3 separate regions of the Mus musculus genome follow, and all the other regions are reported to be linked to region 2. Evidence: microRNA targets listed by miRTarBase, many of them from high-throughput screens and not tested one by one. Region 2 holds a microRNA gene; each other region holds the end of a gene's coding sequence. Distances are from middle to middle.

What was found. The annotated mature microRNA mmu-let-7b-5p reads UGAGGUAGUAGGUUGUGUGGUU and lies in region 2 at 5,294-5,315, shown strand. An mRNA with a match to its seed (bases 2 to 7 or 8) in the 3' UTR can be bound and repressed. Matches are read on the target gene's strand: a 7mer-m8 pairs with bases 2 to 8, a 7mer-A1 pairs with bases 2 to 7 and ends in A, and an 8mer does both.
Region 1: miRTarBase lists Slc25a18 as a target of mmu-let-7b-5p. Seed matches in the 3' UTR shown: 8mer at 736-743.
Region 3: the mRNA of Zfp740 is a reported target of mmu-let-7b-5p. Seed matches in the 3' UTR shown: 7mer-m8 at 1,962-1,968.

Annotation. Positions count from the first base shown.
Region 1 is chr6:120,793,014-120,800,215 of GRCm38, forward strand. It overlaps Slc25a18 (solute carrier family 25 (mitochondrial carrier), member 18), which reads left to right. Exons shown (of 10, transcript NM_001081048.2): 10 at 489-969. The coding sequence ends at 630. It overlaps Atp6v1e1 (ATPase, H+ transporting, lysosomal V1 subunit E1), which reads right to left. Exons shown (of 9, transcript NM_007510.3): 8 at 4,864-4,951; 9 at 2,231-2,751. The coding sequence ends at 2,689. Among named protein-coding and RNA genes, the nearest start is that of Slc25a18, 23 kb to the left of the region's middle.
Region 2 is chr15:85,702,032-85,709,474 of GRCm38, forward strand. Mirlet7b (microRNA let7b) reads left to right here and starts at 5,288; the gene lies at 5,288-5,372. Lncppara (long noncoding RNA near Ppara) reads left to right here and starts at 1,742. Exons shown (of 2, transcript NR_110483.1): 1 at 1,742-2,259; 2 at 4,523-5,493. Mirlet7c-2 (microRNA let7c-2) reads left to right here and starts at 4,572; the gene lies at 4,572-4,666. It overlaps Gm34622 (a long non-coding RNA gene), which reads right to left. Exons shown (of 3, transcript XR_384306.3): 3 at 6,840-7,443.
Region 3 is chr15:102,211,525-102,218,726 of GRCm38, forward strand. It overlaps Zfp740 (zinc finger protein 740), which reads left to right. Exons shown (of 8, transcript NM_001289691.1): 8 at 1,072-4,086. The coding sequence ends at 1,161. It overlaps Itgb7 (integrin beta 7), which reads right to left. Exons shown (of 15, transcript NM_013566.2): 10 at 6,973-7,166; 11 at 6,250-6,473; 12 at 5,723-5,942; 13 at 5,368-5,573; 14 at 4,948-5,108; 15 at 4,471-4,743. The coding sequence ends at 4,636. Among named protein-coding and RNA genes, the nearest start is that of Csad, 10 kb to the left of the region's middle.

The DNA of each region.
Region 1 (7,202 bases), not on the chromosome of region 2:
GCTCAAGATGCGCTTCCTGGCAGAACTTGCCACTGCCTTGGAATGTGTTGGCCCTCGATTCTCAGAGAATGCTACAGAGAATGGGAGCTTCCGATTCTCCCATGAGTCTCTGCTGCTCCCCACTCCTCCCACCAGATGGCAGACAAATCTGGGATTGCTAAATAGCTTCCTCTCTCACAATACAGTCTAAAGGTGGCGCGCAGATACTTGGCCAAATGGGATCTAACGGCTCCAGTCTTTGGCCTAGCACTTGAGAGGGCCACAGGTCAGCCTGAACTAGTGAGCTTTTGTCTCAAAGTGTGGAGACGCTGTGGACTTGATGCCTCAGAGCTTGTAATCCTATAAGCCTAGCACTCAGGAGATTGAGGGTAGCCCAGGGAGAGCCTGGGCTACACCTAGAGACCTTCTCCCCAAATCCAACAACAGAAAGTCCTGAGTAAATGTGTGCGTAGCCTTCACCTACCAAGCTCTCCTTTCTTCCTTCACAGGAAGCTCTGGACACAGGAGGGGCCAGCAGCCTTCATGAAAGGAGCAGGCTGCCGTGCCCTGGTCATAGCCCCCCTCTTTGGGATCGCCCAGGGCGTCTACTTCATTGGCATCGGAGAGCGCATCTTGAAGTGCTTTGAGTAATCTATGTGTCACTTCTTGCTGTCACCTCTGGCCCTAGGGAACTAGGTGGCACTGCTGGAAGTATAAGATGCTGGCTCTGACGTACGTGGTCTCTAACCTGTAGTGCTACCTCAGAAGAAATGACCCATTTTACTAAGCGAGTAGAGCCTTCATCTCCTTTATGAAAACTAAACTTTCTGAACCAGAGATGTTCGGAAGCCCCAACCTCTTATGTACTATGGCAGGACCGTGTGCAGTAAGACAGAAGGGCTCTTCCACACTAACATCCCCACTGCAGGCAAGTGTGGCACAGAATCGTCCTGTGAGGGTTTAGCGTCAATCCTAACCTTGCCGCCCTAACAGATCAGAAGTGCACCTGTGCCCTCGCGGGCATCAGCAATAGTCTGAGAGCCTGAATGAACATTCTGGCCACCTCAGCAGCGGTCCTGCCCCAGATACTCACCCTGAAGTATGGGCCCAGATCCCTTCCAATAGATGCTTGTGGGACATGATCTGAAATAAAGCTGGTTAAATCCTTGTCCTGTAATCAGCATAGCAGATGACTGTCATTCTGCAGAGTCAAGCTGTGCCTTCTTGGGCCCCACAGACAGTTCATTACTGTCTTCCAACTGCTGTTCTAGAGTGGAGAGTGGTTGGGGGGAAATTGTACACTGAAAGAGTTCAGCTTTTAAAAAATAATTATTTACTAATTTACATGTCTGTGTATCTGTAACCCCCAAGAGAGCATTGGACCTCCTAAAGCTGTGTTACAGGTGGTAGTGAGCTGCCAGACACGGCACTAAGAACTGAATTCAGGTCCTCCGGAAGAGCAGCAGGTGCTGGCTCCAGTTCCTACCCTTGACTCTCACCTCTTTCTACCTTTCATGGCCATGTCAACACCAAGAAACCCAATCTCATGGCCCTCAATTCATTTCTCCGAAGCCACACAAATGATGTTAGGCCCTAAGAAAACAGGAATGAGAGCTGGGTACACAGGTCAGTTAGCAAAGGATTCCACCCCCAACACCATGGTGGCCCGTGCCTATAGTCCCAGTCCTTAGTAGCTGAGGACGGGAGGATAGGAAACATGAAGGTCATAACATCAGTGAGCACATTCTAGGCCAGCCTACACTGTATGCAACCCTGCCAAACTACAAAACTGAAAAGAACCTCCATTAGTCCCACCTAACGTAAAACTTGGGTCTGGGGGAGTACGCCGATGTACATGCAGATAATCCATCTGAAAACGGCCTTATTCTCTCTAAGACAAGATAGGTAAAACCCCAAAGATGCACAGGCCACAGGTTGCGGGGCATGGCTCAGCGGTGCAGCATCTGCTTCCCTATGAGGCTCTGGCACCCACTGCTAACACACACACACACACACACACACACACACACACACACACACACACACACACAAAGCTGTCCAGCCTCCAGGACAGGCAGGTTAATGTACGGCAGGGATTTGGGATAGCTCCTCTCTGGATCTTCCTGTTGCCCAGGCTGCCCCCAAACAATCCTCCCACCACAGCTAGGGCTACAGGTGTGGGCTACCGTGCCCAGTGGAACTTACTCTCAAATCACAAACTCGGTGCCTTACATAAGGAACAACAACTAAATCCACATAAGCCCTCTGTTTTAATAAATAAAGAATATTTGTGGCTTAGATTTTAAATCACATTTACAGAGAAGGAAGACTAGACCTAAACAGTAACAGCGAAGGTAGTGTTCCTGGAGGAATGTGAGTCCCACATGCACTTTATGCCCAAAGAGCAGGGACAGCATGCACAACTCACTCTAGACTAGAGCAGGACAGGGAAAGAATGGGTCCTGGGTGAGGCCGTGCAGCACATCTGACCCTCCCGTCCTGCTGCAAACCCAGTGAACAGCTGTGGCCTCAGATGAGCTGGGGCTGGGTTCTTGCCCACACCAAGTGGCCCTGCTGTTGACACTGAGCCGAGGGCATTAGCTGTAGAGGGTGTCCACTGATTACCAGTATTAGAACAGAAAGAGGAAGCCACACAGATAATCTGCTTCTCCAGGAGAACAGCCGTGGGGGAACTGCTCCTCCTGAAGCTCAGTCCAGAAACTTCCTATTGGCATTTGCACCAAACAAGGCTCCACGGACTTCTGGCATCATCTGTAAAGAAGTCAGTAAATCAGGACCTCAGTCAGGGAAGTTGCAGACAATATTAACACCATGTGGGGAAAGGACATTGCTAAGCACATCAGACCTGTCCTATCTGCTGCACTGTGCCAGACAGTTAAGCAGTCAGACTATGCTCACAAAAGGGGAAAGACCTGAAGTCATTACTGTACTCAGTCTGTGACACTGAGTGTGTGAACCCCTTCCAGGACTGGCTGCAAAGGGCACTTAGATGGAGTCTGTTGATGTCTTGACAGAGAGTTACAAGGATGAGTGTGACCCCTAAGAGTAACCACATTGGCTTTTGTGGGGTCTCAGGCACTCCAATGGTCTGGAAGTTTGATAAAAGCCAGCATTGCTCAGGATCTTGTGAAAGTAGTTCCCACTCTGGCAGAAGGGATATAGGTTGTGTGTCAAAGCCCCTGCAGGCCTCCAGGCTCCCTCAGTATCCCAAGTAGCTGTTACACATTTCAAACCCACACTGCCATCCTAGCCTTTCTCAGCTCCCAGACAGCCATCTGTTCCCTTCTGCCCCACTTTTCTCACAGATCTCTTCTGTCCTCCCACACTGTACAGTCTCCCTTGATAGCTCCATGGGAACTTCTCACCCACTGTGCTAGCCCTCACCATGTCCAGTCTACGTCTTTCTCCTTCTGTTCTGGACTCTTCCAGATGCCTCTGGCTGTTCTCGTTTCTACAACAAAAGCCTTAACCATTATCATGGAAGGGTCATGTCAGCAGTTTCTTTACTGTGCTCCATCAAATACAGCTTTAGGTACTGGTAAAGAACTGAATGTGTGCGAGAGAGGCCAGAGGACAACCACAAATGTCATTCCTTTGGAGCAATCCACTTTTTACTGGTCTGGGGCTTGCATGACTCAGCTAGGGTAGATGGCCAACGAGCCCAAAGAATCCTCCTGCATCTGCTTCCCCATGGCTGGAACTAGAAACATGTCACCATGCCTGACTTTATGTGGCTTCTTTCTCTCTCTCCTTCCTTCCTTCCTTTTCTATATATTTATATAAACTTTACATCCTAATCACAGCCCCCCGCCCCCGTCCTACCCTTACAGATCCCTCCTCCTATTGCCCTCTCCCCTTCTCTTTGGAGAACAGGAACCCCATCCTGGAACAGCTAGTCCCATGAGGACTAGGCACATCCTCTCCCACTGAGACCTAACCAGGCAGTCCAGGTAGAGGAAAGGGGTCCAATGGCAGGGAACAGAGACCAAGACAGCCAGTCCCCTCTCCACTTGTTAGGGGACTCACATGGAGACCAAGCTGCACATTTGTCCAGCTCCTGCATGCTCCCTGGTTGGTGGCCACACTCTGGCCCTCATGGTCTCAGGTTAGTTGACTCTGTGGGTCGTCTTGTGGTGTTCTTGACCCCTCCAGCTTGCTCACCCCTACCCCACTCTCCCCCAAGACTCCCTGAGCTCCTGCTGATGTTTACCTGTGAGTCTCTGCATCTGCTGCTGATGGATGAAGCCTCCCAGGAGACCTCAGCTCCTCAAGCTTATGAGGCAAGAACTTTACTCACTGAGCTATTTATCTCTCATCTCCGCTAACTCCCCATCTGCAGGACTGGCTAGCACAGAGGGCTAACTAGCTCTAGGCCTCCTGAAGATGATGCACAAGTGCTCTGGCTACAAGACACGCACTTTCATTTCAGCATACTGCACTCTCTGGGAGACAGGGTCCCAACCTGCAGCTCAGACCGGCCTCACAGTAACCCTCCATCAGTCTCCCAATCAGCTACCACATCTGGCTAACCTACTCTGTATTTGTATGTTTGTTTTTGTTCTTTCTAGACAGGGTTTCTCTGTGTAGCCCTGGCTGTCCTGAAACTCACTCTGTAGACCAGGCTGGCCTCGAACTCACAGAGATCTGCCTGTCTCTAGGCATGCACCACCACACCCAGTTGAAACTATACTCCTAAATAAGGGATTAAGAAAGTCAACAGAAACTGTTAACCCATGTCTGGAAGATGACCAGCACTTTAGGCTTGTATCCTTGGGTTCAGTGTACAAATGTGGAGACATGAAGATCAGCGTTGAGTTCTCTGCAGTAAGTGCCAGCCGACACGTAACCAGAGTCTGCACTCACCTGCTGGGCTATCAGGTCCAGCCGGCTTTCCAGGGTGTTGGAAACCTTTATCTTGCGATCCCCATTATAGATCTCAACGCCACCAGCTCTACAGAGAACACAGGAAGTAATGTCACGGGCTTGAGATGTATGTCCATGACACGACACTTACCCGACTCCTACCCTCAGCACAGGACAGCCTCGGCATGTAAAGTGTACAGACAGGGCAACACTAATCCCACAGCGTCAGAGAGAACTCACAGTGCTCGCACACAGGGTACAGTGACTGTTGAGCACAGCCATGGGGCTGCAGCGTGCTGTTCAATTCTAGCCAGCCCTTCCCAGCAAGGTAGAAACCAGCTTCAATTCTCTTAGCTATGAGTCACCAGGCAGCCTATGGAGAGGCGGCACCTGCATGCTGCTGACAAAGGAAGGACAGTGACTCAACATGCCTGGCTGCCTAGTGCCTGCCTCTAGCCACCCTCACGTGTCACCTCACTCCTCAAAGCCTCTCAGCACTCAAGAGACATACACAGGTCAACTGTATTTCAAGGAACCATGGGGAACAAGATTCACCTACAAATGACCAGTTCTGTCAATTACCAAGATAAATGGACTATCAGACAAGGACCCAGATACTACTTGAGACAACATTTCACTAGGTAGCCCAGGCTAGCCTAGGACTTACCATCTAAAATCCTCCTGCTTCTGTGGAGATTACAGGCACGTGCCATTATGCACAGGTGGGAAAGGATTGGTACTTCCTCCTTGGGATGTTCGGTGGCTGATGGCCACAGCTGTACCAATCTCCCCCTTTCTGTGCCTCCCTCTTTTTTTCCAGTCTCCATAGCACTAAAGATGTTGCTCTGCTGAGATCCTGACTCCTGGGTGTTTTGTGGGGGAATGTGAGGACAGGAAGGGAGAGAATAAGCAAAAATGACCTCAGCAGGCACTGAGTGTCAGCTTTCTTCTCTTTCCTTCTGTGTTTTGAGACAGGGTCTCCCTGCATGGTTCAAACTGGCCTCAAACACTCTATCATCAATTGGAGCCAAGAGGCTGAGAGGTGATCAGCCTCCTGAGCAAGCACAGCACTCCTGATGAGCCTACAGCTTCCTAACTTCACAGCAACCTGAGTCTCGTGTACGAGATGTAGTAGATGAGGAAATGCACTCTGAGAAACCAAAAGGAGTAGTAACCACATTAAACAAATACCACTTAACCCAAAACAGTAAGCCTGCAATCTCTTAACTGTAATATTAAACCTCAAAAGGCTCTGAAAGCCACGCATCCTTCAGATAAGAACTGCCTGCCTCTTGTCATCTGGCAGAAACTAGCAGATCTTGACCTATTTATCTTGCATAGCATGAAAATTGCCAATTTTTGTTTTCTGTTTTCAAACAAGGTGTAGTTATGTTGCCCAGGTTGGCAGCTACACCGCTGGTAGGATGTGCATCTCCACGTTGCTGGCCATGAACTCCTGACAATCTTCTGCTACAGCATCCCAAGGACTGTGATTACAGGAAGGTGCCCCATGCCTAGCTTTTCCTGTGTGTCAATTGGGAAATGTTAGTATACCTGGCCATGACAGTGCTGTCTTAGACTTGAAGATACTACACAATGGGAAGCATCGGCACTTTGTCTGTCTTTGGTGCTGATGATGGGACTTGATCTCACACCTGCTATGCACGCTCTCAACTACCGAGCTGCACCCCAGCCCACGTCATTGCTATTCTGCTCTCTGAAATTCAATACATGTCTGATGACAAGGTCCCAGGAGGATCAGCCAGCCCTGTACCTGATGTCTCTGCACTGTCTGCTCAGTTTCCACAGCACATCGGCACCACTGAGCACGCCTAGACATGATCTCATTTCAAATGCTTCAATTTACTCAAGTCAGCTGGGCATGGTGAGCCATGCCTGTGATCCCAGCCTCCTGGCTGCTGTGAACAAAACCAACCTAGTCTACAGAATGAAATCCTGTCTCATCCTCTTACCACCAGAATAACAAAAACAAAAAAACCAAAACTGAAGCCAAGGCTCAAAGAGACAAAATAAGTGTTGCATCACCACTCAGACAGCCCTCAGCCGAGTAAAGCAAACCCACATCTGACTCACGCTTTCATGACATCCTGGGTTCTACCTGGTGTAGCAAGAAATAAAACAAACCCTCAAACCCCAAATCTATTTTTGACGGCCAATGTTCGTTCTCAACCATGTCACAGCCCCAAGCCTCAGCTCTTTCCATTTAGCTCAAGGTTTCCCAAGACCCTGCTCCAGGCTAGGCAATGGTAGCAATGTGATGTCAGACAGAAAGCTCTGGGCACCAACACTAATTTCCAACAGCGAACAGGATTATGTTC
Region 2 (7,443 bases):
CGGATCCAGCATGGGACCATCATGAGGTGTGTAAGGCTACAAGAGCCAGGTGGAAGGCATATCAATGCCAGCTCTGGGTGTGACCCTGCGTAACTGGTCCGTGCTTGGAAGAGGGCACCCAAGCCTGTCCAGCACTCTGCCACACACCTGCCAGAGCGTTCCAGTCTGAAGCCAGGGGAGACTCCGCAAAGCCCAGGTCATCTTCACTCAGATGTGATCTTTGTAGTGTCTAGGGGGCTTTTGCATTAACCATTTCTCTAAACCTCGCACAAAGTTACTTGTCTTGATGAATGAGATTCTTGTTCACCCCCTAACATGCCTGTCCTAGCTAGATCCAAGATGGTGCCCACTGGGCATGGCCTGCCCCCTGGCATGTCGACCCATGCCTACCCAGTGAGCGTGCATCTTTTTAACTTTATGGGCCTTGTTCACAAGGAGATCCGCCTTCTGCCCAGCCGGATGCCAACCCCCTCCCGCCGTTCCCAGACTCGCTGTTGGCACGGCCTACTGAGCAGAGACACTGGCCGCTTTATGGGAGAAACCTAATCAGGGAAGCCAAGAGAGGGGGGGTTACTGTGGGGGGGGGTCTGGCTCTTGGTGGCCCCAAGCCAAGCCTGAGGTGACTTCAGGGTGACACTGTCTGTCTGCCTCTCTCCCTCCAGACATCCGCCCAGCCCTGAAAGGGCCACCTGCCTGCCTAGGCCTTTGGCACACCTGTCCTGGCCAGCCTGGCTCCTCCCCCAGGCAGACACTGCAGGACTGGGACAGGACTGAGAGGTGGCGGCTGGCAGATGGCAGGGCGTCTGCTGACTGCTCACTCCCTGCCCGCCCCGCCACTGGCCCTCCTCCAGCCTGTCCCCACTGGGTCCCTGCAGTCTCTTTCAGGACCCCTTCCTTGTTACCCCTTGAGAAAGGAGTCATTTCTGTGGGTCCCAAGCCCCAGGCCCGAGGCCAGGCTGTTTCACAGGTGGGCTTGACACATCGGAACGCTTCCCAAATATGGAACTGGGCCTTTTCCTTCTCCTTCACAAATGGCTCTAGAGATGACCAGAGATCCAGTAAGGGTGACCCTCCCTGAAGTCTTGTGGAACCAGCGTAAGTCCCCCACAGGTAGAGTAGAGCTGCCCTGGAACTGAAGAGACCATGATAGCCATGCCTGCCACCAGAGTGTGGAGAGGCACTGTGAGAGGAATCGGCCTAAGACAGGCACCTGTGGGTCAGCCTCACCAGAGCAGAGCCAGCACCCCCCTGCCCCCCCCCCCCCCCCCGGGGAGCAGGAGCCTTGTGGAAAGAAACAGGAAAAACAGGTCAGCGGTTCCTGGCAGACGGACAGACCAGAGCAAAAGCCAGGAGGTGGGAAGGACCTGGGAGATGGCCAAGGAGGGCAGAGGAGGCTTGCCCAGGGCATTTCGAGGCTTTGTGGGTTGGGGGCAGGGCTGATGGGCGCAGTGGGAAGGATCCGAGAAAGGGTGTCAGCGTGACAGATAGCTCGGCTGTCTTGGGAGCCCATGCGAGGCTGGTAGTCAGGGAGGGGGCTTTCCCACCCTGTGTGTCCTCACCAGACCCTCAGTAGCCAATGGGCTCATCTTCCCATCCTTGAGTCGTGGTTGGGGGAGGGGGGTGTTAACAAGGCCTGCAACAAAGCACTCCGGCTTGACGGACAGAAGTGGGCAGATCCTTGTCTCCATATTCTGTACCCCAGGCTCAGCTCCAGAGCCCTTCAGCTGGCCAGGCTTCTCCCTCACTGTCCCCATGTCCCTGCTTGGCCTTCCTTCTGTCTTACTAATGGCTCTGCCATGATGATTTGGGCCCGAGGGAGGTAGGATAGTGACTTGATTCATGGTGTGAGTCTGTAGTCCAGTGAGCCCTTTCTCTGGGTCTCTGCTCTTTGGGAGAGTTCAAGCCCCATTTGCCCTATGTCCTAGGGAAGTTGCACGCGGGCCACTGGCCACCCACAAAAACACGCTTGCCCACCATGGGTGAAGTTGGAGCATAGTCTCTGACCCACATGCCCAGCACAGGGCTGAGCTTAGAGGCCGTTCCATCCAAGGCTTTGCATGCAAAGTGTCACCAGGCAAAAGGCAGACTGGATGAAAATGCCATTGTGCTATAGGATCTTAAGGAGTGGCCAGGGGAGGCCACCAGGGGCCAGGCTTTCTCCCTTCTGAAGTTGATGATCATTGCTTTTGTTTCTAACCCCCAAGGTGGTCAGGAAGTGGAACCAAGCAGGAAGTTCTGCATGCCTATGGCTTCCCTGTGGTAAGTAGGGCCCCAATGTCCTTCCTCTGGAAAGTAGGGAGACTTGAGAGTAAGGAAGGCTAGGGTCAGAGGCACATCCCTGCCAGTGCTCCAGGACCTGCCCTCAGCTTAGATGTCTTTACCTAGAGGCTTTGTGCTCCCCCCAACCCCTGCCCTCAGTATTGTGCCCCACCCCACCCCCCAGCAATCTACCCCAGATGACACATCTACCCATGATATGATATGGTGACTTTTGACCCCGTATCGGCCTACTTAGACTGGGCATGGCTTAACAGAGGTGCAGTTCCATTCATCACCAGCTCCAAGTGGAAGAGACGTAGCCTCCCAACCTGAGGACAAGGTCACCGAGCCCTGAGAGACCTCTGGGGACCTCAGCATGAGGTCCCTCTCTTTTCTCTGTACCCCGGGCACCATCACTTAATCCCCCCAGTGTGATCCTGCTTCCCCCAGGCCAGGCCACTTGGTATCAATGGAGGATCTGCCAGAAGGTCTTGCCTAGAGAAAGGCCAGATGAGGGAGACAGAGGCACATCTGTTCCCGTGTTGGGCTAAGGCACAGTGCGTGGTGGCCCACTGTCCTTGCTAGAACTAGGGTGCTTGTGTCCTGGTGTTTCTCTACCATAGCTTGGGCTCTGCAAGGCTTCTGTTGCAATGAAGCCCAGATTCAGGGAGGCTCACCAAGTGCAGAAAAGGCGCTTTGGGGCTGACACAGTGGCATACACCGGCCTCCTGCTGCTAAGTAGAGTGGCTGAGAATCCCCAGGGGCCAGCCAAAAGGACCCCACGGAAATGCATGATGGTGCCCAGAGTCAGAGGGGCCAGTCTCGACCTTCCAGCCAGACCTGCCCACGTACTTGTATCCTGACAGCCAAGGGCAGAACCCGAAGTGTTGAGAGACCTGGGGTTGATGTCTGACCTCTTTCCTCCTTCAAAGTGCTTCTGGGGGCGGAGAGGGGGAGGGAGGTGCTGGGCTCAGATGGAGATGACCAATGTGGTCTCTAGCTATTCCACCACATCCGGGCACAGCCTAAGAACCGACGAGATTAACCATGGCCAGTCAAGCCTACAGAGAGGCTAAGCAGTGTGGGACACCCCTCAGCCTTCTCACCTGGGCCACCCATCATAGATAGGATCACCAAAGGGGCCCTTCACCACTCTCTTCCCACGCCTCTTCTGCCTTGCTGCCTCTGCAGGGACCATCCTTGAGGGTATTTGACCTGCCTGTTAGTGAAAGGGTCCAGGCTTGAGGCAGGGGATGGCACCCCAGTGGCTCAGATTTCCTTCTGGGGCTTGGAAGATTAGTGTTTCCTATCATCACAGGCCTGCCCACCACGGGCCAGGCCACACCAGCGCTCTGGGAACCTTGTTCCTAAGCTCCTCTGCCCCATAGACTCCGGATCTGGGGCCACAATGTGGACTTAGACCTAACGGCTTCATTTTGACCCAGGAGTTTTGGACTTGTCCCTTGACCCTTGGCAGAGAGGAAAGGAGGCGTGACAGTAGACGCTAGGGCTCATGCAGAGAGCAAAAGCTGCCTGGCTTCCTAGGTCTGGGCACAGGGCTTCCCTCCACATGCTGGGCAAACCGGTCTGAGGCCTGAAAGAAGCAGGTCTTTTTCCCTTCTGAGAGCAGAGCTACCTGAGACCAGAGACTGAGCCTCAGTTTCTTCAGCGATCTCTGCTGGCCTCTGGAAGTGCTAGTCGTTAGGGACAGACTGGCCATGAGTGTCCAGCCAGGGTCTGCACTTGCGCCCGGCTGGCCACCATGGGGAGTTAGGCTGCCTCCCACAAGGAAAGACTGTTTTGAGCCTCCCCCAGCAAGGTCAGCTCAGGCCACCCTGAGAAGAGGGAGGGACAGAACCAGAGCCCACGAGGGGGGGGCTCTTCCTGCCTAAGGGGAAGAGGGTACATGCCCAAGGCTACTACTTAGCAGGAGTCCTGGTGATTCTACTACGCTAGAGTTGAGTGGACAGAGGCTGGGTCTCAGCCAGGTGGACACTGGAAGCACCCTGGACCTTGGTGGCCTTTAACAAATGACACCCTTCCCCCATTGTGGCCATTCCTGTGCTCAGTGCCCCGTGCTTTCTCTCTCTTCTCCCCGTTTCCCCGTCTCCCCGTCTCCCCTTACTCTCTCTGTGATTTTGTTTAAATGTCCCTGGCCCATTTTGAGAAAATCCCAGTCTATTAATACCCTCAGCACTGAGCGGCCTGTGTCGGGGGTGGGGGGTGGGGCTCACCATGTCCCCAGCTCTCCTTCTTCCTCTAGGAGGGACCTCAAGAAGCCACAACATCCAGCTCTACGCCAAGACTGACTGACGGCCTTTGGGGTGAGGTAGTAGGTTGTATGGTTTTGGGCTCTGCCCCGCTCTGCGGTAACTATACAATCTACTGTCTTTCCTGAAGTGGCCGCAATATCTGCAGTGGATACAACGGCGGCCCTGGCTGGGGAGACTGAGGGAGGGACAGGGGGGTGATAACTACCATGCAAAAAGAGCCTGACAGAGACCTTGGATAGTCCCTTGACCTCTCTGGGCTGTTACTCATCTGTATAAGGGTTGGGGCATAGCGATGAAAACAGACAGCATTTTCAGGGCACCTTCTCTCCCTGGCCCACACTGAAGGGGCCTTCCTGCCCCTGGCCCCATATCAGACCTGTGCTCACAGGTCTCCATGAAAAGAGGGTCTGGACTAGACCTTCAACTATGTTCCAGAGTTGCCCAGGCTTTCCAGCGCAGGGTCAGGCCTCTGACGAGCAAGCGTCTCTTCCGAGAAGAAATTGAAAAGGAGCCATTCTTAGCACACCCATGAGTACAGCCTGCAGATGGACCGTGTAGGCCACTGTCCCCTGTCCCTGGGGCAATGGGTTCAGACACCAGAGGCTTCCTCAATCTGTTTGGTAGGCACAGGCCTTTCTCACTGAACCTCTGTCTCCACTTCCCCCTCCCCCACCCCGCCCTGTGCCCTATGGCTCTAGTGGCCTGTGGCCAGGGTGGGTGGGGAGCGGCTGGGCCTCCTCCAGAACACGGACACCGCAGGGTGAGGTAGTAGGTTGTGTGGTTTCAGGGCAGTGATGTTGCCCCTCCGAAGATAACTATACAACCTACTGCCTTCCCTGAGGCGCCCAGGGACACAGCTACATGGAGGCCCCCGCTCAGCAAGCTAAATGGAGCCACAGATTGGGTGGGGGCTATGACGTGGGACCTGGGTATAAATAAAGGATGTTCTGTCATGAACTTACAACTGGTCTTTGGTCATTTTGGAAATACGGAGACTGGCCGTAGAGGACATGAGATCGCCAACCACACATTGACACGTTTGCATGCATGAAACATTGCCAGCAAGAGCTGCTCTGGGTAGTGAACAGTACCCTCCCCTCATCTTCCATGTGCCCCTTAGTGGCCCAAGCCCTGGACACCCAAGCCCCTCCACATGAGTGGAACAACAGACCCTATGACTCCAAGTCTCAGAGCACAGTACTGGCTTCCAGTGTCCCTCAGCCTGTGGTCCTAACCAGATCTGAGAAATTCCTGGCCTATTGTCCCTTCGTGCCTGCCTCCCTTGGGACAGTATTGGGACGGCTGTGGATGTAGCTTTCTAATCTTGGGCCAAATGGTCATATACCCTTCTTCCAGGGACCCCAAGCCTTCATTCAGGTGGTGGTAGTGGGGTGAGGGTCAGCCCTCAGCTAGTGTTAGCTTAGGAAGGTAAAGTCCTAGTCTTACCTGACCAGACACCAAAGGCCTCCCTCGTGGGTGGATACCTTGACCCTGATGTCCTGGCCTTCTCCCCATAATGAATCCCCCGAGTCCCAGCTCCCGTCCTGAACCCAATCTGCCTCAACTCTGCATATCCACACACCTCCATTGACGCACCTAGGCAGACCAAACACCCCTAGAGCCCCTCTATATCCACCCTCAGCTACCAGACCTCTCAAACTTAGCCAGCCATTTCCAAAGATCTGATACTGTGCTAGCCCCAGGGTTGAGAGTACCCAGAGGGACTCTCTGAGTACTCTCTGAGAGCAACAGGGATGGCTTCCCAAAGTAGGGGCTATCTGAGCTGGGTCTTGATGGCTGTATAGGAGTTGGCAGCTAGAGACACAGGAGTGGACACTCAGACACTCCGTGGCATGCCCCATTGTCTCCTCCCTGCTGTCCTTTGGAACATCGATGGTGGATGATAAATTGTCACCTTTTTACCTCTCTTTATCCTGTAGTCAGTGGTGAAGTCTGTTGACTCTTGCTATGCCTCCAGCCCTAGAGGAGTAGTCCTTCCTCCCCTCCCTTGTGCAGAGCTTTGCCCACTCTTCATCCCTTGCTGAATTAGTTAAGGTTTTACTGCTGTGAGCAGATGCCATGACCAAGGCAACTCCTATAAGGACAACATTTAATTGGGGCTGGCTTACAGGTTCAGAGGCTCAGTCCATTATCATCATGGCAGAAGAATACCATGACATAGGAAGAGCTGAGAGTTCTACATCTTGTTCCGAAGGCAAACAGGAGAAGACTGGCTTCCAGGGAGCTAGAGTGAGGGTCTTAAAACCCATATCCACAATGACATACTTCCCCTAACAAGGCCACACCTCCTAATAGTGCCACTCCCTGGACCAAGCATATACAAACCATCACACAGCCTACCTTCCATACTCTTCTGCACAGCCCAGCCCCCAACCCTTCACCCTCACACAGGCCCACCCTCTGGCTACCACAGCCAGCTGTGTCTGTGCAAGCAGAATGACATGCTGGCCAGTCACACCCACCTCCTGGCTCCTATGCTGCAGTGGGAGATGGCCTCTGCTCTGCAGAGTTCAAGTACTAGGGACACAGGACAGGACACACGGCGACCACCCAGTGGGGTAGCGTGGGAGCATCCGAGAGCTCTGAGGTGCTCTGCAGTCAGGGTAGCTTCCTGGAAGATGACCTCTGACATGTCCTGTGCCCCTCTCTACATTCTGTTGGCTCTTCTCTGACAACTGACTGTCACTAGAGATAGGGGTGCATGTGGGGATCAGGGTGGGTACGACACAGCATTCAGCAGAGTGGAAGTTCTGGGGTGCAGGGGAGTGGTTCAGCCCAGGGAGACCCTGTGCTCACTTCCCCACTTCCACAACCTACAAAGGAAGCAAAACACTTCCACTTAGAGGGTGGAGTCAGGATTCAAGGGCACCCCAGATTGTGCCTCAGGGAA
Region 3 (7,202 bases), 17 Mb from region 2:
TTTTTTTTTTTAATTGGATATTTTCTTTATTTACATATCAAATGTTATCCCCCTTCCCTGGTTTCCCCTCCGGAAAAACACCCTCCCCCCACCCCGTACCCCCTACCCCTGCTCACCAACCCACCCACTCCCCTTCCTGGCCCTGGCATTCCCCCACACTGGGGCATAGAGCCTTCCTAGGACAAAGGGCCTCTCCTCCCATTGATGTCCCACAAGGCCATCCTATGCTACATATGCAGCTGGAGCCATGAGTCCCACCATGTGTGCTCTTTGGTTGATGGTTTAGTCCCAGAGAGCTCTGGGGGTACTGCCTAGTTTATATTGTTGTTCCTCCTATGGGGCTGCAGACTCCTTCAGCTCCTTGGGTACTTTCTCTAGCTCCTCCATTGGGGATCCTATGCTCAGTCCAATGGGTGGCTGTGAACATCCACCTCTGTATTCGTCAAGCACTGGCAGAGCCTCTCAGGAGACAGCTATTTCAGGCTCCTGTCAGCAAGCCTCCCTCCCATTGTTAAGATAGGGTCTTAAGTAATTCACAGCGGCTTCCAGCTTGCCACGTAGCCAAGGATGACCTTGAACTTCTGCTCTTCCTGCCTTCAGCTCCCAGGTGCTGGGATTGCAGGTGTATGCCACCATGCTCAGTTTATAGAGTTAGGGGTGGGGTTGGAGGTGGGGGTCAAGTCCGGGGCTTCCTGTGTATGTATGGCAAGCAGTCTGCCGACTGAGCTGCATCCCCGGCCCCTTGAACCAGAGTTTGGTTCTTTTTGTTTGTTTGTTTATTTGAGGCAGAGTCTCTCTAACTATCCCTGGCTGTATTACATACAACTCATTATGTAGACCAGGCTAGCTTTAAACTCACAGTTACGTACCTATCTCTGCCTCCTGAGTTCTGGGATCACAGGCATTTGACACAATGCCTAGCACAAACAAGCTTTAGCTTTCCTATCCACTGCGTGTTTCTGCTGTGTAGATGCTAAGGGAACAGTAACACAGTGTATGTCCCCTCTGAGACAGGAACTTACTAACATGAGACTGAGTTTCTCTTAGTGACTTAATCCTCTCTCTCCACAGTGTTTTTCTCGGACAGACCGATTACTCAGACACAAACGGATGTGCCAAGGATGCCAGTCCAAGACTTCTGAAGGGCAGTTTTCTCTATAGGCACAAGGGGCCCTAGGTGGTGGGAGTGCTGAGGAGAGTCTCTGGAAGAGCATAGCCCTGTGTTCTGACGGTCCCACCACCACTCCCTCTGAACCTGTCCCCCTTCCTAGAGGACCAGCCCCAGGTTAGCAGAAGAGCGTCTGAGGACATCGGCTCCAAAGCCCCAACTCTGTAACCAGTCTGAGGCTATGAGTATCCCAGGGACACCTGCAGCATTCTTGGGCAAGGGAGCTGGTCCTTGAACCTCAGCTGAGATGAGGTGGGGACTCAAAGGTGCAGGACCAAGACTGAAATGTTCCCACAACCTTGGACTGGAACTGGCAGCTAAAATGGAAAGGACCGGGGAGGGGTTTTTGTTGGTTCTGCTTTTGTTTTTGTTTATCCAAAAGCAATTTAAACAGGTAAACCGGGGATACAGGTAATGTGGAGGGGACAGTCCTGAAGCACATCAAGGACTGTGGCTGGCCTGGCCATGTCTGTCACCACAGTCCCTCGGTGTTCCACAGCCCGCCTATTTGAAAGCAAATAGGAAGGGGGCTGGCAGCTGGGCTTCCTTGGACTTCTTATACACTGTGAAGACAAAAGGAGAAACTGGGAAGGACAGACGTGGGCTGGACAAGAAGCGTAGGCATACCTTTTCTTATCTCCTCAAGAAGAGCGGTGTTGTGTCACGGGTGTTCCCATGGTTTGTGTGGCACTGGGGCCTGATGGGATCAGCTCAAGTGCCTTGTGGAGGACTTGGGTTCCGTAGCCCATTTGGCTCTTTTTTCTGGGAAGTTGGTCTTGGTTGTGGTTTGTGGCTACCTCGCTTGTCCTTGACTCTAGAACCCAGGCACAGTTGAGCAGGGGGTTGTGGGTATCAGAGTATGCTGTCCTTTTGTGTCCTCTTAGAACAAGGATAGTCCAAAGTTTTGTTAACTATGAGAAAAACAGAAATTGGGACAGTCCTTATGGGACTTGTGTGATGGAGCCCTCTCCCTGTCAGAATCCTCTGCCTGTTCAAGTAGAGGAGATGGAGGTCTGGTCTGGTCTGGTCTTCAGTCTCAGAGAACCGACCTTGGCTCCCTCCTGATAGCATCCCTGCAGAGTGGGGGGGGGGGGGTGCTTCAGAGGAAGGATTGCAGGAAGACACCTAATGTCTGCTTTATTCTTGACCTTACTCTGTTATAACACCCTTCTATCTTGTCTACCCCTGGAAAGGTGATTGGATTAGTGTGTGTGTCTGATTTGTGAATGCTTGTGTTTCTTTGCTTGGAAGGGGTGAAAATTGTTGACTGAAATTCATTCGGCCACCAACTTGGAGGACAGAAAAACGTAGGGCAGCCTTCCCACCCAGACCTGAAGGACGTCTGCCTCCCTTGTTCTTGCTGAGAACAGGGGAACAGAGGGGCTTGTTTCAGAAGAATGTTGAGGGTTTTTTCTCATTGTTGTTAGGTTGATTTAACCGTGTACTGATCAGAGTGTTTCTAAGCCAGGGCTTCTGAACATGTACTTTCTAAAGTGAGATAACTTCTGCTAAAGAAAGGATTCTTAAGGGAGACCTTGGGGTTTCATTGAGCACTCCAGGACCCCTGAGGCCTACTTCAGGTGTAATCTTTGGGTTACACCTGAGCACACAACTCCAGCTGTGGGTAGGAATCTGAGCTGGCCGCCTCCAGGAAGAAGTTTTGACTTGCAAATGAGAGCCAGGCAGCAACCTACCTTAAGACCTCTTCCAGTGTATTGGGAGATGGTCCACCACAACTTAAGGGGAGAAGGGAGAATGTCTCAGCCTTCAGTTTTCCTCTGATAGCACCTGAGAGGAGGTCTGAAGAGGACAGCCTGCCGTGTGTTCTGGCTCCCTGCTGTCCCTCTAACGTGCTGTAAAGCCTGCGCCTCTGACCTTCGTCCGCCGTGTGGCCCCTGGGCATCCATGTTCGTGATGCACAGACCCTTTGCTGTTAGAGGGTTCTGCTGGGCTGGGATTTTTCTGTCACTGGGAAAGAGGATACGCTGAGAAAGATATCCTCCCAGAAATGCTTTTGAAAGTGGAATCCCTCCCTGCCACTCGTAGATGATCTGTTCGTGCTGAAAGTTGGCAGAGTGGCCTGTGCCTCTGCAAGTATGAATGTGTTTCCTGGGTCAGAGCAGGCCCTGCAGACAGTGGCGTTCTGCCTAGGTGGGAGCTGAGAGAAGTGAGAGAGAACTGGATGTGTACAGACAGCCCACCCAGAACCACACTGCCAAGGCCAGGTGTGAGAGGCTCAGAAGCTGGCAGTGGGTAAGGACAGACAGGCTCTGGGGTGGAGAGTAATACAACAGCCAAGAGCCTGGGCAGAAGCCACATCTCTACCCTGGGGGAATGCACAGACAGCTGCAAAGGCTCCTGAGCCTGATGCCCCCCTCTGCTGGGGTGGGTTGTTAGCACTGGACAGATGTCTCAGGTGTGTGTAGAAGGGGAAATGAGAAGGTGGGTGCTCAGACATCAGAATGTGGATGTGGGTTTGGTAGGGAGAGTAATACCGGTCCTTGGATGGACTCCTGCACCAGGCCGTCCCATCCCACCCTTGCTGGTGCCTGCCCTTCCCATCCGTCCCTGACAGCCTCTTGTCATTTAGCTACTGATTGTACTTCATGGCTTGACATAGAGGGTTAGAGAAGTGGGGTGACCACACTTTGAGCCCTCTCCCCAGGTTCCTTCTGCCCCTGCTGTGGCCCTGGGCTTTTATCTTCAATTCCCCTCCTACCGTGCTCCATTTTTTTTTAAATATACTTATTTTGCTATGGGGGAGGGGAACTATCAAATGGACAAGATTACTTTTAATGTAGTTTTTATAAGATGTTATAAACTTGTATCTTTTTACCATTAAAGTGCAGTGTATGTTCCTTCGTGACATATTTAGGATATTTAAATAAAAAGGATGGCGCTTTTCTACATTCCATGTCCTCTTTGAGAAGACTTGATTTGTTGGGGAAGCTTTTTCTCCAAAGGCCAGAGTGGTCTCAGTGGGGTGGTTTTCCTCCCTCAGGACCCCACGGCTTGCAGCAGAGTCGACGGGCCCCGTTAAGACTTCTTTTCTCCAGAGGGAAGCATCAGGTAGAGGCAAAAGTCATTGATGCTAAAAAAAAAAAAAAAAAAAAAAAAAAAAGGGAGGGGACTCTCAACAGTCAGACATAATCAGGGCTGACTCCTGCTAGGCAGGGTCCCTTCGAAGGTGGTGCCTCTGGCTTCCAAGGCTCTGCCACTGGCTCAGGTGAGAGGCCTACATAGTCTGGTTTGTTGTTTGTTTCTGGTTTTGTCCCGGAGTGAAGTAAAGTAGAGGCTCAAAGTCTGGGGCAAAGCTTTATTATGGAAGGACCAGCCCTTCGTGTGGTGGGAATGGCTGCTGCCCTCTGAAGGTCACTCTGAAAAATCTCAGCGGTGGCAGCATCTTTGCCTGACAGACGCTGCCCTGCCCTTCTATCTCCACTGTCCTCCAAGACAAGAATCCTAAGTCAGTCTGCTTCCCTGGTCAGAGAGAGGGATGGCGACCGACCGTTTGTCCCTTGGAAGCGGGGGTTGACAGTGGTTGTGATCGCACTTTTGTAGAGAGGATTGTTGTCCTGTGGGAAAACATTGCACACAGTAAGGAAAACTATCAGGCTCTCCCCACTACCTGCCCCACGAGGCCAGATCTCCGAGGCCTGGTTATGCCGAGGGAGGGACTTGCACGGGGAAGCTTTAGAGCTGGTTATGTGTTAGGGATACAGAAAGTTAAGAGACGTCACCAGGAAAGCCCAGCCTGTGGCAGCAGTCGCTGGCCTCACCTGCTTCCAGTTGAGTTGCTGCTGCTCCTTCTCAAAGCGCCTGTACTCCCGTCGGTCGTAGATTTCCACAGAGAGCCGGTAAGCCAGAACCAGCCCTAGTCCCACTGCCACGATGCCCCCTGTGCAGCCCAGTATGATGGCACGGGTGTGATCCACTCCCTCTGGTGGGGCCAAGGTTTAAGGGCTGACCCACAGCTACCCAAAGGATGTCCAGCCTCCCCAGCCAGCCCTGTCATTGAGAACGGGACCCAGCAGAGCCCAAGGTTGTCCTCCCTCCTAGGGCCTTCATCTCATCTCTGCCTTTGCCCTAGGTTGGTGACTGTTTCAAACCCATTACCCTTATCTTTTTCACATCCCCAGTTCTGAGGTCCTGCCTGGTAAGCTCCACTTATCATATACATGGTGTCTCTGCCCACTTACTCTCTTGGGGTCTCACTCTCAGTACGATCCCGCTGGCTGCATGCTCCACCAGGAAGAAGAACAGCTGGTTGTCTATTGTCCTTTCTTTGCACCAGCCATCATCCAAGTTAGGGGCCAAGGTCAAGGTCACATTCACGTCAGCACAGACCACACTACAGTTGGCTGCCAGGGGACCGGTACCAAATGCCCCGCACTCTGCACAATCCCTGTCCGGTGAATGCCAGTCAGTGGATTCACATCTGGGCAGCTGTTACCCACCAGCCCTCACCACACACCCTCAAGGAGAACAGGCAGGTAGGAATTCCCAGCAAGCCTCCCTGCCCCAGATCCCGAGGTAAAGGGCGAGAGGCCTCACCTGTACTGCTCACATGGTGACTTGCAGCCTAGGCACTGGTCACACAGAGCCCCGTAGTAGCCATCCAGGCACTGGCAACGGTTGCATTTGCAGTATCCGTGCCCACTGCAGAGCCCTCCTTCAGGACTGACACAGCTGTCTACACTCTTGCTGCACTCGCAAGCTCTGCCGGTGTGGTTGGCGTGACAGTGACATACTCCACACTGGCAGTGGCCAAAGCCTAGGGAAGAACCGTGCAGAGGGTGACCACCATTCTCACACACAGTTGGCACAGTATGCCTCCACAGTCTGTGTCAGCTGTGCCAGGCACATCCTCTGGCTCAATACTATAGTCTTTGAAATTTGCTCTCAGAGTTGTAAGTGCCCTAGAAAACCCTCCTCCTCCGCCTCCCTCTTGTTCCCCCCTCTTTTCTCACCTTCCTACTCCCTTCTCCCCCTCCCTCCTCCTCTCTCTCCTTCCTCCTTACTCCCCCTCCTACCCCTCCCTGCTCTCCTTCCTTCTCCCTCCTCCCAAAGGCTCTAGGTACCTCCACAGAGGATGCCCTCATGTCGCTCACAGCTGGCATCATCACACTCGCACAGACGCCCAGAGCTCTGCCCACTGCAGCTGCAGCGTCCACATTGGCATCGACCCTTCCCGCTGCATAGGGGCCCTGTCCCGTTTGGGGCCCGGCAACCAGATTCCAAATCTGGGGAGGACAGGTCAGCCTCAGAGCATTCACACAGCTGACCAAGACGGCCAGGGGCACAGCTGGGAAGGGAAAGCAGAGAGATGGGTCAGAGTTTGATTACCTCTGACCTGTCTCTCAAGATATCCTAGGCCGGCAGTTTTCGACCTGTGGGTTGTGACCCTTTGGGAGTCAAGTGGCCCTTTCACAGGGGTCCCCTAAGACCATGGGAAAACAGAGATATTTACAATTCATAACAGTAACAAAATTACTGTTATAAAGTAGCAATGAAAATAATTTTATGGTTTGGGGTCACTAAAGCATGAACTGTATTGAAGGGTTGCAGTGTTAGGAAGGTTGAGAACCATTGCACTAAGGTCATGTTCTCAAGGGAGAAGGAGACAGAGCAGCTGAAACAAACTCAGATAGAAGTGTACCAAGGGTCAGGGTGGGGAGGGGGATTCAGGTCAAGGCGAAGGCCTTAGCATATATGGGAAGCTTTGGGGTATGACATTCAAGTAGATTCCTGAGATACCTAGGTGACTCCAGGAGGATAGAAAGCAGAGTTCATAAAACCCTCACCTGCATATCCCGCACTGAAGGTCCCCCTGTCCATCACTGCAGTAGGGAGCGTGAGGCTGGGCATCACCACAGTTACAGTCGCACACTGTGTGCAGCTCCACAGTTAACTCCTCTGAGAAGCCAAGAGCCCAGAGTCGTAGGACGTGGGCTTCTGGGAGGCAGTGAGTAGCTTGAAGAGTGACCCAGAAATCCACCTGAAGGCAGGAGGGCCAGACAAAGCTGTACACACC